Linked DNA regions of Arabidopsis thaliana. Each later gene encodes a partner of the first gene's protein in a complex. Each region holds a gene or a part of one and is shown in the gene's direction. Other genes may lie near its edges.

Region 1 (3,268 bases):
GTGACATCAAAAGCCTTACTGCATTGTTACTTCAGAAGGTGGTCAGTTATATGCTGTCTCTGCAGTTAATACAATCTATATAGCATAGAAAATCCCTTCATTGTTGAGACCTGACTCCGATGGGCGTCAATGTTTGTATTTTCTGCTTCATACAGTTTTATAACCAACAATTATGGGAGTTACTGAAATTTACTACCTTTGTTTAGATAGTCTATTTCGGTACATTATTACGTGGGTTCCTTATGCCAATAAGAAAGATAACTTTTGTTGAAAAATAATTTGCAGGTGCGAGGGATGGTGTTTGTCAAAGATGTTAGAAGACAGTTATGTCAGATTATGCAGAAAATATCCAAAGGTTAGATTGTTTCATGACAAGAAGATTCCGTGAAAGAATATATAATTATTTCTCTATGGCTTTCACCCTAAATGGTTATGCCTCCAACAGAACCAGAGTTTATGTCAACATCACTCTTTTATCTTGTGAGATGTGATAGGTGGCTGTGTCATACCTAACCAACCGTCACTAAAATATTTGGTCTCCTTGACAAACTAGATCGATTGGAAGTTGGGGCAGATGGTAGGAAGAGTTCAAGCCGAGACGACTACAGGAAGTTGAGGAAAGCTCTATGCGTTGGTAATGCAAACCAAATTGCTGAGAGAATGCTTCGTCACAATGGATACCGGACTCTTAGTTTCCAGTCCCAGCTAGTCCAGGCATTACTTCTCAATCCAAGTCTCATTTATCTGTTACAGTGTTAGATTTTCTATTACATCAGTAGCTCAGATATGTAAGCATTTCCAGTTTCGTATGATCATCGACATATTGACGTTTTTGGTTGATTCTAGGTGCATCCATCATCTGTATTGAGTGCCGACAATGACGGAATGATGCCTAACTACGTAGTGTACCATGAGCTGATTTCCACCACACGTCCGTTCATGCGGAATGTTTGTGCAGTAGATATGGCATGGGTGGCTCCCATCAAAAGAAAGATCGAGAAATTAAATGTCAGAAAATTGAGGTAAAAACAAACATTACTCTTTACTAGTTCAATCCAGTCTTGTTCTAGCTTTTTCTTGTCTGGTCTTGGATTCAGTAATTGATCGGTATCATTTAATCTGCCATGTAGCGGTGGACCGGCTCCCTCTTTCAAAGTACCTGAGGAGAAGACGGAGTTGTCTAAAAACAATGCAGAAACACCTGCAGTTTCTGAAAATGTTGAGAGTCGGATTGAAGCAGCCAGAGAACGCTTTCTTGCTCGTAAAGGACAGAAATAAATTTGATGTCTCAAACATAAATACAAGATTCAACTAGCCCTATAAAGAATAGAAAAGAGAAGCTTTCTGTAGAAGATTTGTTATTAGAGACAATTTTCAAATTTTGTATGTTCTGTTTTTTTTTTTTTTGGCTCAACTTAAACTTTTCTTTATTCTCATTCGACATGAGTTTTAAATTTTTAACCCAATTTGGTATGTTCTTAGTATTATGTTTAAAAGATGATAATGTTTACACGAAAAAAGAAAAGAAAAAGGTTTTGGTATTAGTCAGACTTCGGTTTAGTGATTTAATTCGGTTTAGTATTAAAATTGTAAACCGCTTCGGAAACAGGCTTCTCTTATTTTGGGCTTTTGAGAGGAAAATGGAAATCTCGTGTCCAACAAGAATTAAATTAGGAGTGATAAAAGTCAACACGAACTTTTTGACTGGAAAAAAATGGAAACTTTCCGGCGACGTAAGAAAAAAGGAAACTCCCACTGCTATTAGTATTCGAGTCTCCGAAATCAGATAGAGAGAGAGATTAGTATTTCAGATAAACAAACTGTTTCAGTCTTCAAAATCCGAGAGAGATGGGTGAAGTTTGGAGATGGAACAAGGAAGTAGAGATGGATTCGATAAGAGATTGTTTGAAACATTTTAGTTCCATCGCTATCGACACAGAGTTTCCCGGATGCTTAAAGGAGACTCCGATGGACGCGAGTGAGGAAATTCGTTACAGAGACATGAAGTTCAATGTGGACAACACCCATCTCATCCAGTTAGGTTTCACGCTATTCGACAGAAGAGGAATCACTAAAACCTGGGAAATAAACTTGTCAGATTTCAACGAACATAAGTGCTTCAAAAACGATAAGTCCATAGCTTTTCTCAAAAGCAATGGTCTCAATCTGGACAAGATCGGAGAGGAAGGTATTGGAATCGAAGAATTCTTTAGAGACTTTTCTCAGATTCTCAAGGAGAAGGACGGAAAGATAACTTGGGTGAATTTTCAAGGCTCTTACGACAATGCTTATCTCGTTAAAGGCTTAACGGGAGGGAAACCGTTACCGGAGACTAAGGAAGAGTTTCACGAGACCGTCGAGCAGCTTTTGGGAAAGTTTGTTTTTGACGTAAAGAAAATCGCTGAATCATGCAGCGGACTAAGTAGCCGATTCGGACTACAGAGAATAGCTGATGTGTTGCAGATGAAACGTGTTGGAAAAGCTCATCACGCTGGCTCAGACAGTGAATTGACGGCTCGTGTCTTCACTAAGTTGACTTTCGATTTGCTCAATAGTAGAAAGCAGTGTGTAAGACGAGTTGATCATCAGCAATATCAACTAGAGCAGCAGCAGCTTATGATGACTAGATGTTACATCCCAATACCGATACCTATACCGAGACCGAGATCGGTGATGTTTGCTGCTCATCACCCGAACCCGTATTTTGGTGGTGGTTACTTTGGGATGCCGGTCCAAGGAAGGAACTACGTTTTGTGATGCCTGAATGTTTGTTTAACATGACTTGCTCTGCTATTATGTATAATTTCTAGTTTTATCAGATGTTTCTTTAAATACTAAAGATTAACTTTCATCTTTTCTTGTCGATCAAAACAATTCTCTCAACTCTCATATGACACAATTTCTCTTTACTGGATACTTTCAATGAATCTAGAATACAATACAAATAAATTTAAATATCCTAAGAATCTACTCAAAGCCTCTAATCTTATGTTATGTAGCTAAAGCTGCGTTCCTGTCAACAAAATTGAACAACTCTGTTTGTGCCGCTTCCATTATCACTCGGAAGTCTACGTTCATATACCTTCCCCTGCAAAGCCATATTTCAATTAAATCACATGTACCATCACCAAACAATAACTTGCATGGCTTGGTTTAGCTGATGATGATGAATATACCAGAAATGAGTCTTGGACCAGACTGAATTCGGAAAAGCTGGACTTCCAACTCCGTGCATTATTCTCGCGATGGCTCTTGGTGTGAATTTGGC
Region 2 (5,821 bases), on another chromosome or scaffold:
GTATTAAAAAAATTAATGTTATTTGATATTGTAAAATACAAAAAAATATATTTATATCCAATATAAATATATTTTGTATATATATATAATGCATTAATTCATATAATATTTACTTTATTTTTTCAATTTCAAAACTAAACTAAGAGAATAAATATTTTTTTAAGATATGAACTATTCATAATAATAATAATAATAGTTAGTTTCTTAAGAAGTTAAATTTTTAATTGCTAAATATTTTTAATCAATAGTTAGTTTTTTCTTATATTATTCGTAAAAAACATTTACTTTGAATTTAAAAATTACCGTGCAAAATTTAGACTAAAAAGTTATATACTCAATTGTTTTTCATATTACTTTCTTATGAAACTTATATAGTCATGTGTATTTGGTTCTGTAATGATTTATTTTCTAATGAATAAAGAAGTTTATATATTTTAATTGATAATACAAAAAAAAGATTCTTTCACTCATATGTTTCTAATAAGATTTTTCTGGTTTTAATTTCAGTTTTTTTTTTGTTTTAAAAATTTTAATCATTTTTTTCATTTTTAGTTTAGTTTTGAAATTAAAAAAAGCTAAATATTTTAAGAATCAATGTATTAAATATATATGCAAAATATTTTTATAGTAGATGTAAAAATTGTTTTTTGATTATAGAATAACTAGTAAAACTAGATTTTTAATATTAAAAATAAAGTAAAAATTTATTTTTGAATATTTTTGTTGGTTAACACCGGTTGACGTTAGAGTTAATTGGTTATTTAACATGAAATTTTATATTTATAATGTTAACTATATAATATTATATACTTGGTTATGCAATCTATATACATCATTTAATTAAGTGTTATTTAGTTTAGTTGACATATATAGTTTGTACTGTATTATATTTTCCGTAAGTTTCAATCTTTTTTATTATAAATAGGTGAATATATGTGTATATAGAAAAAAGAGTATTAAAGACTTTTTGTTTCCCTTTGGAAAATAAAATAAAATAAAAATACGAGTCCATATTTGGTCTTGAACGAGACTTGCGTTCATTCCTAGGGGGATGAACCTCTTTGTTCACCTCCTTTTGCATTAACTAATAAAAATATGTCATGTCAAATCCTATTTAAATTACATAATAAATTGAAGCTATAATTATAATCCAAACCGATATATAATTTCGTTTAATTACAAAATCTAAACCCTAATTCTTCTTTGTAAATCCAAACCGCCATTTAAACTCATTTAGTCGTAAAAAAACTAAACCCTAATCGTATTTTCTAAACCCAAACCGACATTTAACCTTGTTTAATTGTTAAATCTAAACCTGTTAATAAATCTAAACCAATATTTAACCCGTTTAATCATAAAATCTAAACCTTAATCGTACTTTCTAAACCAAAACCGATATTTAATCTCGTTTAATCATAAAATCTAAACCCTAATCGTATTTTCTAAACCCAAATCAATATTTAACCTTGTTTAATTGTAAAATCTAAACCATGATTTTTTCAAATAAACTCAAATCGATATATAATTTTGTTTTTGAGGCAAATTAGATTTTATAATTAAATTAAACTTTTATTATTATTATTAGGTTTTAAATTTTAATGGGCTAAAACAGTGAATATAGAACCCAAGTATTTTTCTTTGGTCTTTGTCCATCTTTGGAAATTAATTTAGTCGTAGCGAACAAATCTATCCCACTCATTGGATTTCAATTTCATAAATTTTAGGTTGTAAAATTCGGGTTTGGAGAAAATTGGGGGTAAATCTAGGGTTCTGGGAAAATTAGGGTTCTGGGAAAATTAGGGTTCATCCATGCTGTCGAGTTTTAGGGTCAAGTAAATGACGGATCCATTAGGATCCGTTTTATATCTTATGCTCTCTCGTCTCAATATATATATTTAAAAATCTCAGCCTTTGGGCTTCGTTAGTGTTGGTTTGCTTTCAGAATTTAACTTAGTTACGGTAAAAGCAATGCTTAGCGTTATACGAGTGCATCTACCGTCGGAGATTCCTATTGTTGGCTGCGAACTTACACCTTACGTACTTCTCCGGCGGCCTGATAAGACCCCCTCCACCGATGATGTGCCTGAGTCAGCCCCGCTTGAAGGTCACTTCTTAAAGTACAGATGGTAAGTCATGCCTGTGGCTTCCTTTTACTCTTAAATCTGCTCCCTTTTACTAGCTTTTGCTCGAGTTTGTTATGGACGACTTTTTTTTACCGAAAGTTTGAGACTTTTCTGTGAATTCCCGGGTATGATTTGTTTAAGTGTTTCTTAGTCAGTTCAAGTCTTTGTTCGTTTGCAAATTTGAGTGTGAAAAATGATTTCTTTAATTGTAAAGTAGGGTTTATAAGTCTCCAGTCTTGTCTTTTGGTTCTGTATTAAAAGATGCATCATCTGTTGCAGGTTTCGAGTACAGAGTGATAAGAAAGTTGCGATTTGTAGTGTGCATCCATCCGAGACGGCAACATTGCAGTGTCTGGGATGTCTAAAGTCTAAAGTTCCTGTTGCCAAAAGCTACCATTGCTCTACTAAGTGCTTTTCGGATGCGTGGCAACATCACCGTGTGTTGCATGAGCGTGCTGCCAGTGCTGCTACAGAAGGAAATGATGAAGAAGAGTTGCCCCGTTTGAATAGCTCAGGGTCTGGATCTGGTGTTCTCAGCACCAGTGTTAGTTTAACGAATGGGTCATCATCAGTTTATCCTTCAGCCATAACTCAAAAGACCGGCGCCGGAGGAGAAACACTTGTTGAGGTTGGACGCTCTAAGACATACACACCAATGGCTGATGATATTTGCCATGTTTTGAAGTTTGAATGTGTAGTAGTCAATGCAGAGACAAAACAGAATGTGGGCCTTTCTTGTACCATATTGACTTCCCGTGTTATCCCAGCTCCATCACCTTCTCCGCGTAGGCTGATCTCTATTAGTGGAACTGATGTTACTGGGCACCTGGATTCTAATGGGCGGCCTTTGTCTATGGGAACATTCACTGTGCTGTCCTACAATATATTGTCTGATACATATGCTAGCAGCGACATATACAGTTACTGCCCCACATGGGCTCTCGCTTGGACATACCGTAGACAGAATTTGTTACGGGAAATTGTCAAGTACCGTGCAGATATAGTTTGTCTACAAGAGGTATGTTAAATATTTATGGCACAAGTTGTACTGACTTGGAAACGTTTCAATTGCTAGTTAATGGATAAATACCTCTCCAATATTTTCGTTTTTCATCTTGCAGGTACAGAATGATCATTTTGAGGAGTTTTTTCTTCCTGAGCTGGATAAACACGGATACCAAGGTCTTTTTAAGAGGAAAACAAATGAGGTTTGCTTCAACGCATCCCCTTGATCTTCCATTACCTTTTCGTGGTCACTTATCTGCAAGATGTACCAACCAGAAAATATTGATTCACTGGATAATTTTAGGTTTTCATCGGTAATACAAACACAATTGATGGGTGCGCTACTTTCTTCAGAAGAGACAGGTTCTCACATGTAAAAAAATATGAGGTATGTCTTAGTTTTCTCCTGTTACCTATCTAATTAGGCCCATTTGCTAAATCATTGGGCTGCTCATCCAGGTTGAGTTCAACAAGGCTGCACAGTCTTTGACTGAGGCTATTATCCCTGTTTCCCAGAAGAAAAATGCTTTGAATCGGTTGGTCAAGGTACTCTGAGATGCTCTATAGTATGATTTCTGTTTTCCGCACATTCTTGGTGATATTTTTTCATGTAAAACTGATTTAGAGTCTTTCTTTTTAGGATAATGTTGCTTTAATAGTTGTACTGGAAGCAAAATTCGGTAGCCAGGCTGCTGACAATCCTGGGAAGCGCCAGCTACTTTGTGTGGTAAGTTGTCCATCTTTTCAATATTGTTCTTTATTGTCAGAGATGATGCTAGAGTTGAAGTTATGTGTTTCCACTTCCTCTTCTCCTTTAAAGGTCTCGAGGTGATCATGTTTTCTCTCTTTTCATGTATTTGATGGGTGCAGGCTAACACGCATGTAAACGTTCCTCATGAATTGAAAGATGTAAAGCTGTGGCAGGTTGGTCTTTATTTCTCATTGTAAAAGAACTCTCAGATTTCGGATTCTTACATCACTATTGATCCATAATGATTCTTGCCCAAATAGGTTCACACATTATTGAAGGGACTGGAGAAAATAGCTGCCAGTGCAGATATTCCAATGCTTGTGTGTGGAGATTTCAACACAGTACCTGCGAGGTCTGGCTGGTTTTCCTATTTGTTATGCCCAAGTAGCAATTGTCAAACTCTATATTAAATTATGATTGTGGTTTCTACCTGAATTAACTTGGAGTTCCTTCTTAATATTTTCAGTGCTCCTCATACACTTCTTGCTGTGGGAAAGGTCGATCCATTGCACCCAGATTTGATGGTTGATCCTCTTGGAATTTTACGTCCTCACAGCAAGCTTACTCATCAGCTGCCACTGGTAATTATCTTTCCCAAAAATGGAAAACAGATGCACAGAATCGTGAAAGGCAGACTTCAATTTTAATTAGAATGGCAACATATGCGTAGACATCATACCTTTGTGACCATTGCAGGTTAGTGCCTACTCACAATTTGCAAAAATGGGAGGCAACGTTATTACTGAGCAGCAACGTAGAAGACTGGATCCTGCATCAAGTGAACCGTTGTTTACCAACTGTACCAGGGACTTTATAGGCACACTTGATTACATATTTTACACAGGTTAACTTAAGTGCTTACTTTCAGGGGTTTTACGCGCCAGTGTTTGCTTTCATCTCAGATTTCTTTTTCATCTGGTAAGCAATTTGCTTTTTGTTTTGTTTCAGCGGACACGCTAACAGTGGAATCGTTGTTGGAACTGTTGGATGAAGAGTCCTTGAGGAAGGACACAGCTCTTCCATCTCCAGAATGGTCTTCTGATCACATTGCACTTTTGGCTGAATTTCGCTGCATGCCCAGGGCCAGACGAAACAATATTTTATAGAGATACTGCAGCTGTAATAACCCGATACCAAAGACTGGTTCCAATGGATATGGTTAAGCTACATGAAGTAGATAGCATGGCCATGTCCCTGGGGTTTCTCCCGCTGGGTTTTTCGCTTGCGTTCTACTCTGTATCACAGTTTTATTTACTGCTTGGTTCGCTTGGCTTTTCTTTCTATAGTTATTTCCTCTTTGCCAGAAAGTTTTGTCTTCACTGGCTTGTGATTGTAACAATGTAAACAATTAGATTCTTCAAGAAAATAGTGACTTCACCTTTTCCATATTAAAATCTGTGTCTTCTATGGTTGCAATCCTCCTTACACTCTTAACCCTACAGCTTAACCATCAATTTTCTAGTCTCTTCACTTGTAGATATCTTGCAGATACTGTGAAAACGAACTGTGAACAACTTGATATATTTTATATGTACCCCTCCAATAACTGAAGATGATCCAAATTCCAAAACTCAAATTTCAATTCAGAAATTAGACATGTTAACCAGTACTCATTATATAATCCTTTTAAATCAAGTTTCTTGCAGACTTAGAACTCTCGAGTATCCCTATAACTAGAGAGGGAAACATATGTGAACAAGAAACAAGTCTTATAAAAAGCCACATTAAGTTCTTACTCTGCTGCATTAACTGATGGCTAGATTCATGGCTTACAATCAAAATCCACAAATGTTGGCTCTATGCATAACAGTAGCAGTAATGTTCCTTGGTGTGAGATCAGAATTGAGTCAGGATATAAAGGGATGTCAGGATGCGATGTCTGATCTCTACTCTTGTCTTCCTTTTGTCACTAACAAAGCTAAAGCACCAGACTCAACATGTT
Region 3 (6,132 bases), on another chromosome or scaffold:
GGTTCAGTACTAGTGTCTGATACTAGGAAGAAGATGATTTTATCGGTAATATTGGTAGAAGCCTTCTTTCTAAGCCTTGAATGGATCGATTTTGTTTGCTTTCTATTGTCTGTTGTTTCGTAATTACCGATTCATGTTTGAACTTTGTGGTTGATGACATTGATGTTGACAAAGTATCATCTTGATCGTTGTTTTAAGTTGTTTGACTATATGAATACTGCATTCTTTTGTTCAACCAAGCAAAATTTTTTGTATGTTAAGCATGTGTACCTTGTAATCTATCGCTGATTGACTTATATTATCTTTCGAGAACATGGTCCAAGACTAATTTTCGTATTCACAGAATTTTTTCAAGCTCACTTTTGTGAAACCCTTGGTTGGAACATCTTTTGCGTCAACTAGTTCTTTAAATGTACAATAAGATGTGATTATGAAAGTCTAAAGACTGTTAACAACGTCTTAAATTTGGTACTAACTATTTCATTGCAGTTGCTTGGGTAGTTATGTTCTTGGTGTTACATATATTTTCTCTAATTTGTGATCAAGGAAAATTCTTCATGTTCTAATAATGGATTGACTTCCTCTCAGCATATTACAATGACATATGTGTTGGAGCTATCGCCTGTCGGCTGGAGAAGAAAGAAAGTGGGGCCATGCGAGTTTATATAATGACGCTTGGTGTTCTTGCACCCTACCGTGGGATTGGCATTGGTAAGTCATAAATCTGCTGTGCAAAACTTGAATACCGACAAAACATGAATAATGAAGAAAACTGTTAGCATGTTGTGTAATTCTGTTGTTTTCCTTACGTTTTAACACATGAGGCCAGCTGTAGTATGTTTATTCTGTAGTTCTCTATTTGAAGTGTCTCCATTTAGAGATTCAAACCACCAAGAAATAGTCCTTAGGGTTTTATGCATATCGTTGTTTTACCGAGAAACTGGAATTATGATTCCTCCTATATCAAGATTTAAGATCGAATTCCCTGCTTTAGAAAGAAAAACTCGATGTCTATAATTTGTGTATCTTGTTTTTTTCGTCTTTTGCAGGCTCAAATCTATTGAATCATGTTCTTGACATGTGCTCCAAGCAAAACATGTGTGAGATATACTTGCATGTGCAGACAAACAACGAAGACGCAATCAAGTTCTACAAGAAGTTCGGCTTTGAGATCACAGATACCATACAAAACTATTACATCAACATTGAGCCAAGAGATTGCTACGTTGTCAGCAAGTCCTTTGCTCAATCTGAAGCCAACAAATGATGAAAAATACCAAACTTGGGGAAGCCATTCCTCCCCAGTTTCTTTGTTGCATTCAGTTCAAGATCTATTAATGTTATGATGATCCTTCGGTTTCCGAGTTTTGCTTGTTTTGTTGACCTTAATTTTTCTTACTGATTCTAAATTTATAAATTCCTGGTTATATACTTGCATGATTTCTCTAATGTCCTCTTGGCTTTGGACATTTTCGTTTGGAAAAGTTTTTAACTTTGCAACTCAAAGCTTTACTACCAAGTATCATCGTGTTTGTAAATGTTGGTCTATGAATTTGAGTAAAGAGAGACAATGATTCTTGTTATGAGCTGTAGAATAAAGTAAAGAAAAAAATGAAGAATTTATGACTTGCGTTTTGGCTTGCGTGCCATTTATTCACAGTGAAGACTGGAAGATGTGTTCTTCTTGAATCAAAAAACGGCACGTCTTATGAGTCTCCGTTCATCGGTGTCTGCAATTAAGCACCGGTTCCTCGAGCTTCCTCACTCAATTCGATTGACCAATGCGGCGTTCTCGTTTTGTTGCTCAAGTTTTCTCCGACGTTACCTTCGCTGACGCCTCCACTATCTCTGCTCCAATCTTCACCATGTCTACTCGTGCTCCGGTAAATTTTCTCAGCTATTCTCTTGTTCTATCACTCCCGCTGCGTTGCTTCGGTTACTGGAATATAATTTGTTTCTTACGAAGCAGTACAGAGGTGCCCGAGGACGAGGACGAGGCCGAGGTGGGAGAAGTTTCTCCGATCGTCCGTACAATGATGACGCGGGAAGAGATCAGTTCGTTACTGGAGATTCTCATTTTCAATCAGTTCATGACGCCAATTTCCGATTCCGGCATGGTGAACCTTATCGACAACATCAGCCTCCGCTTGATCAGCGGCAGCAACCACCGTTCAATCAGAATTACGAATTTCGACCTCCGCCGCCGTCACGAGGTCAGTGGCAACAATTCCGTCAACCTAATCAGTTTCCGTCTAATCAAAACTACGCGGCTTGCCCTCCCCCTCCGTTCTATCAAAACCAGATGTCCCGGCCGCCTCCACAGCAGAGCTTTCGTCAACGGCCACGGTCAAAACCTTCAGATTACCGTGAATGGGAATATGCCAAAACGCCACCGTCTCCTGGCTCCGGTAATTTATGCGTGACCATCTCATTTGCTCCGGTATACAATTTTTGATTTGCTTTCTCTTGTCTACAGAAAAGTTTGTTGTTTTATCGTATAATATATTGGCGGATTACCTTGCAAATGATCACTGGAGAAGTCTTTACTTTCACATACCGAGGAATATGTTGAGTTGGGGATGGAGAAAGAGCAAATTAGTGTTCGAGCTTAGCCTATGGTCTGCAGATATAATGTGCCTTCAGGTTATAGTTTCTGCTATATCTTCTTGGTAATTGCTTGTATGAGGGACTAAGGAGACAAAACTTTCTTGCTTTACTATTTTTTTATCATATGTATACAGAATGTATCTTCCATATGTATAGTAATCTAAAATTATTTTGTATATGTCAGGAAGTTGATAAATTTCAGGACTTAGAGGAGGAGATGAAGCACCGGGGATATAGTGCTATTTGGAAGGTAGGTTTGTTGAAAACTTTTAGTTGTCTTGAGTTTGTATTCTCTACGGACTCTCTTGGAGTAAAGATTAAATGGTATGCATCATAAGAACTAGGCTTCAAATGTGGGGTTAACTCTATTTTATAAAACTGTAGATGCGGACTGGTAATGCTGTTGACGGATGTGCAATATTTTGGCGATCCAATAGGTTTGATTCCCTTGCTCTTCCTTGTGTGGATCAGTCTGGAATCTTGTTTAGGATTTCATTGTTATCATATTAGATTCAAGTTGGTTCACGAGGAAAGCATCCAGTTCAATCAACTTGGTCTCCGAGATAACGTTGCTCAAATATGTGTGCTTGAGGTAATATGGATACCTTATGTTGATAGTGACTTATATACATTTGCCTCTTTGCCCTAAATTAAATTTGCTCTGTGTAGACATTGTTGACTTCACATACAAAAGAAAATGAGACCCCTCCACCTGAAAGGTAACTTAAAAGTATCTGTAAATGTTACTATCATATCATTTTATGGGTGGATAATTTCACTAGGAAGTGGCCGATTTTCTTCAGATTTCAGTGGTTTTCTGTATGGACTATACTTTGTGGGTGGGTTGAAGTGAATTACCAATTTCTTTTACAGCTCTGCTGGTTCCCATCGAGTTGTCATTTGTAACATTCACGTGCTTTTTAATCCTAAAAGAGGAGACTTTAAACTTGGTCAGGTACTTTCCTTTAATGCCATATTCTAGTTTGTAGAAATCTTTTGCCAAACGACAGTTTTACTCTCTGGTTTAACTCTGTCTATACGCTATGAACATGTATAAGTGTTAGGTGTTTGAGATAAAACTTTTGAAACCAAACGCTTCGCCCCTTGCTTAACTTGGTTTCTTTAACTGTTTCCATTTATCATCTATGTATTTATCTCTGTTACGTAGGTCAGAACACTCTTAGATAAAGCTCATGCTGTTTCAAAACTCTGGGATGATGCGCCTATTGTTCTTTGTGGGGATTTCAATTGTACACCAAAGGTAGGACAATCTTACCTTAACCAGTTTGTATACCCCAAAAAACTTGTTTTGTGACATGGTCATAACATTCTTCCACCTGGTTGCAGAGTCCTTTGTACAACTTTATTTCAGACCGGAAGGTAAAGCTTCATTGTTAGGAAAGTCCTTCACCTATTCGCAACATTATATATATGGTTCACATTGTGTCTTGTGCTGCTCTCTGCAGTTGGATTTGTCTGGTTTGGCCAGAGACAAAGTTTCGGGGCAAGTTTCTGCTGAGTTTCGTCCACCAAGGCCAGAAAATTATACAACGAGGTAGAGCAAACTCACCAAGTTCTTCGACATCATTAAGTATATGGTTATGCAACTTAACACCTCCATGTCTACCCTAGAATATCGGGTTCTACTCTGCTTTTGCAATTGTCAGCATGGTTGATAGGCCTCCTCAATTTTCCAGGTATCAGTCCGCCAACAAATCTCCACAAGGTCAAGTTCAACCACCAAATTTGATCACAAATGCTCATATGGAGAATAACTCCAACATAGATGTTGGAACGGCCCCCTCCGAGAAGACATCTGAGCTTCCATGTGGTGATACAATTCTTGCTGGTCACGAAGCCACCTCCAGCTCTGACCAAGTATTACCATGCGAGAATATGGCCTCAGATTGTCAGTTTGGAATAGAAAACAGAAAACCTGATGATTCCGGGAATCTCTCGACAGCTGAAGATCTTTCTTCACTAACCATATCAGATACAGAACCTCAACATGCTTCCAGTGCTAGAGAAGATTTGAATACAGATCGTTCTGTAAGTTCCGGTTTATCAGAAACAGAGCAAACTCCTGAGGAAATATGTTCCAGTGATCAAGATATTTCATCTAGTCTCTCCACCAAGGTTGACACTTTTGTGGCTGAAATGAAACTAGATGGCTTAAAATTGGACGAACCAGTAGTATTCGCGCAAGATGAAGAAAGTTTAGGTGAAGATGGGGAAACCTTTTTGGCTAAGCTACACGATAACAATGAAAACTTGAGTCAAAAAGGGGAACTTGTGAGTGAAGTTCCACTTAAATGGAGTTCTGAAGCTTTAAATAGTGACAAAATCACTTATAGTCCATCCTCTTGGACTCCAATGGAGATAGCAACTGCAACTGGTGACCCAGAGAGAACTACGGTTGAACATGCTCTGGAGCTTAAAAGCACATACTCAGAAGTGGAGGTATTGTAATATATCCTCCCTACAGTTTTTCCCTTTTATCTTCTGTTTCTTGAGAAATTATATCCTTAGGAAGCTGTTGAAATTTGTGGTTAGGGTCAAGCAAACACAAGGGATGAAAACGGAGAACCTGTAGTGACCAGTTATCACAGATGTTTCATGGGGACAGTTGACTACATATGGTATTAGCATTAGAAGCAAAACCATTTGTGACAAACCTTAAAATTAGATTACTTCATTATTGTAAATTATGCGCGTTTTGACATATTCTCATGTTTGATTTCTGGTTTGGGTTAGGCGGTCGGAAGGTCTTCAAACAGTGCGTGTGCTTGCTCCAATACCAAAGCAAGCAATGCAGTGGACTCCAGGCTTCCCGACTCCTGTAAAATCCCATGATATTCTTATATAGCCTACCTTTTTAACTGAATTGTTTACAAAACTTTTTTATGTTTGTATTTCTGGTTTGTTACAGAAATGGGGAAGCGATCACATTGCACTGGTTTCAGAGTTGGCCTTCTGCAGCAGCAAAACTCTGCCCAAAAGCTGATATTAAACTGGTGGTGAGTTCATTAGAAATCTAAGAAAGTGTAAAGAGATTAGATGGTTGAGGTCTTGGGTTCAAAGCACATCCTTGTTGCAATGTTTGTGCTCTGAAGGTCGCCAATAGCTTATTTTATATCCCAGCAAAACATCTAAGAGTAAACTTTTACAGAATCTCATAGGCTCTAGTTTTGTATTTTTCTCTATCATATTTTACAGTGACAAATTATATTTGAGTTTTTCTTTTTGGGCGACACTCGATTTCAGAAAATCTGCTATAAAAGTTTAAAGCATGCTTCTTGATTTTAAATAGCTTCAATTGTTAACCCCTAACTCTTTCAGCTTTAGTCTAGACTGACTCTTTCAATTATTACAAATAAACACCTAGCATTTATCCATGTCCCTGTGTCCAATATAAGGACATCTCACATTAGGACCTAATCCCTGCAATATAATTCAGAGCATCCAAAACTTCTTGCATCAATGGTCGTTTCTTCTTGTCCCGATTGGTGCATCTTTGGATGAGTG

Evidence for each region. The genes of interacting proteins can lie anywhere in the genome.
Region 2: AT1G27890 (region 1) and AT3G58560 share a complex: the UniProt entries of both Arabidopsis thaliana proteins name them as parts of the CCR4-NOT complex.
Region 3: AT1G27890 (region 1) and AT5G11350 share a complex: the UniProt entries of both Arabidopsis thaliana proteins name them as parts of the CCR4-NOT complex.

Annotation. Positions count from the first base shown.
Region 1 is NC_003070.9:9,713,625-9,716,892, reverse strand, and holds AT1G27890 (Polynucleotidyl transferase, ribonuclease H-like superfamily protein), read left to right. Parts: upstream 1-1,716; 5' UTR 1,717-1,848; coding exon 1,849-2,757; downstream 2,758-3,268. Other genes in the region: AT1G27900 (RNA helicase family protein), read left to right, coding at 286-355, 554-714, 847-1,022, 1,131-1,278; AT1G27880 (DEAD/DEAH box RNA helicase family protein), read right to left, coding at 2,992-3,088, 3,177-3,268. UniProt on the Arabidopsis thaliana protein: Ubiquitous transcription factor required for a diverse set of processes. It is a component of the CCR4 complex involved in the control of gene expression.
Region 2 is NC_003074.8:21,650,044-21,655,864, reverse strand, and holds AT3G58560 (DNAse I-like superfamily protein), read left to right. Parts: upstream 1-1,664; 5' UTR 1,665-1,968; coding exon 1,969-2,126; intron 2,127-2,402; coding exon 2,403-3,141; intron 3,142-3,244; coding exon 3,245-3,331; intron 3,332-3,432; coding exon 3,433-3,516; intron 3,517-3,587; coding exon 3,588-3,674; intron 3,675-3,768; coding exon 3,769-3,855; intron 3,856-3,998; coding exon 3,999-4,052; intron 4,053-4,139; coding exon 4,140-4,231; intron 4,232-4,345; coding exon 4,346-4,460; intron 4,461-4,575; coding exon 4,576-4,723; intron 4,724-4,827; coding exon 4,828-4,985; 3' UTR 4,986-5,300; downstream 5,301-5,821. Other genes in the region: AT3G58550 (Bifunctional inhibitor/lipid-transfer protein/seed storage 2S albumin superfamily protein), read left to right, coding at 5,632-5,821. UniProt on the Arabidopsis thaliana protein: Acts as a catalytic component of the CCR4-NOT core complex, which in the nucleus seems to be a general transcription factor, and in the cytoplasm the major mRNA deadenylase involved in mRNA turnover.
Region 3 is NC_003076.8:3,619,802-3,625,933, forward strand, and holds AT5G11350 (DNAse I-like superfamily protein), read left to right. Parts: upstream 1-1,717; 5' UTR 1,718-1,781; coding exon 1,782-1,883; intron 1,884-1,966; coding exon 1,967-2,408; exon of another isoform or gene 2,409-2,415; coding exon of another isoform or gene 2,416-2,476; coding exon 2,477-2,643; intron 2,644-2,791; coding exon 2,792-2,857; intron 2,858-2,991; coding exon 2,992-3,044; intron 3,045-3,117; coding exon 3,118-3,199; intron 3,200-3,276; coding exon 3,277-3,326; intron 3,327-3,480; coding exon 3,481-3,562; intron 3,563-3,775; coding exon 3,776-3,868; intron 3,869-3,954; coding exon 3,955-3,987; intron 3,988-4,073; coding exon 4,074-4,162; intron 4,163-4,304; coding exon 4,305-5,067; intron 5,068-5,160; coding exon 5,161-5,246; coding exon of another isoform or gene 5,247-5,253; intron 5,254-5,361; coding exon 5,362-5,446; coding exon of another isoform or gene 5,447-5,473; intron 5,474-5,536; coding exon 5,537-5,611; downstream 5,612-6,132. Other genes in the region: AT5G11340 (Acyl-CoA N-acyltransferases (NAT) superfamily protein), read left to right, coding at 589-711, 1,050-1,267; AT5G11360 (Interleukin-1 receptor-associated kinase 4 protein), read right to left, coding at 6,035-6,132. UniProt on the Arabidopsis thaliana protein: Acts as a catalytic component of the CCR4-NOT core complex, which in the nucleus seems to be a general transcription factor, and in the cytoplasm the major mRNA deadenylase involved in mRNA turnover.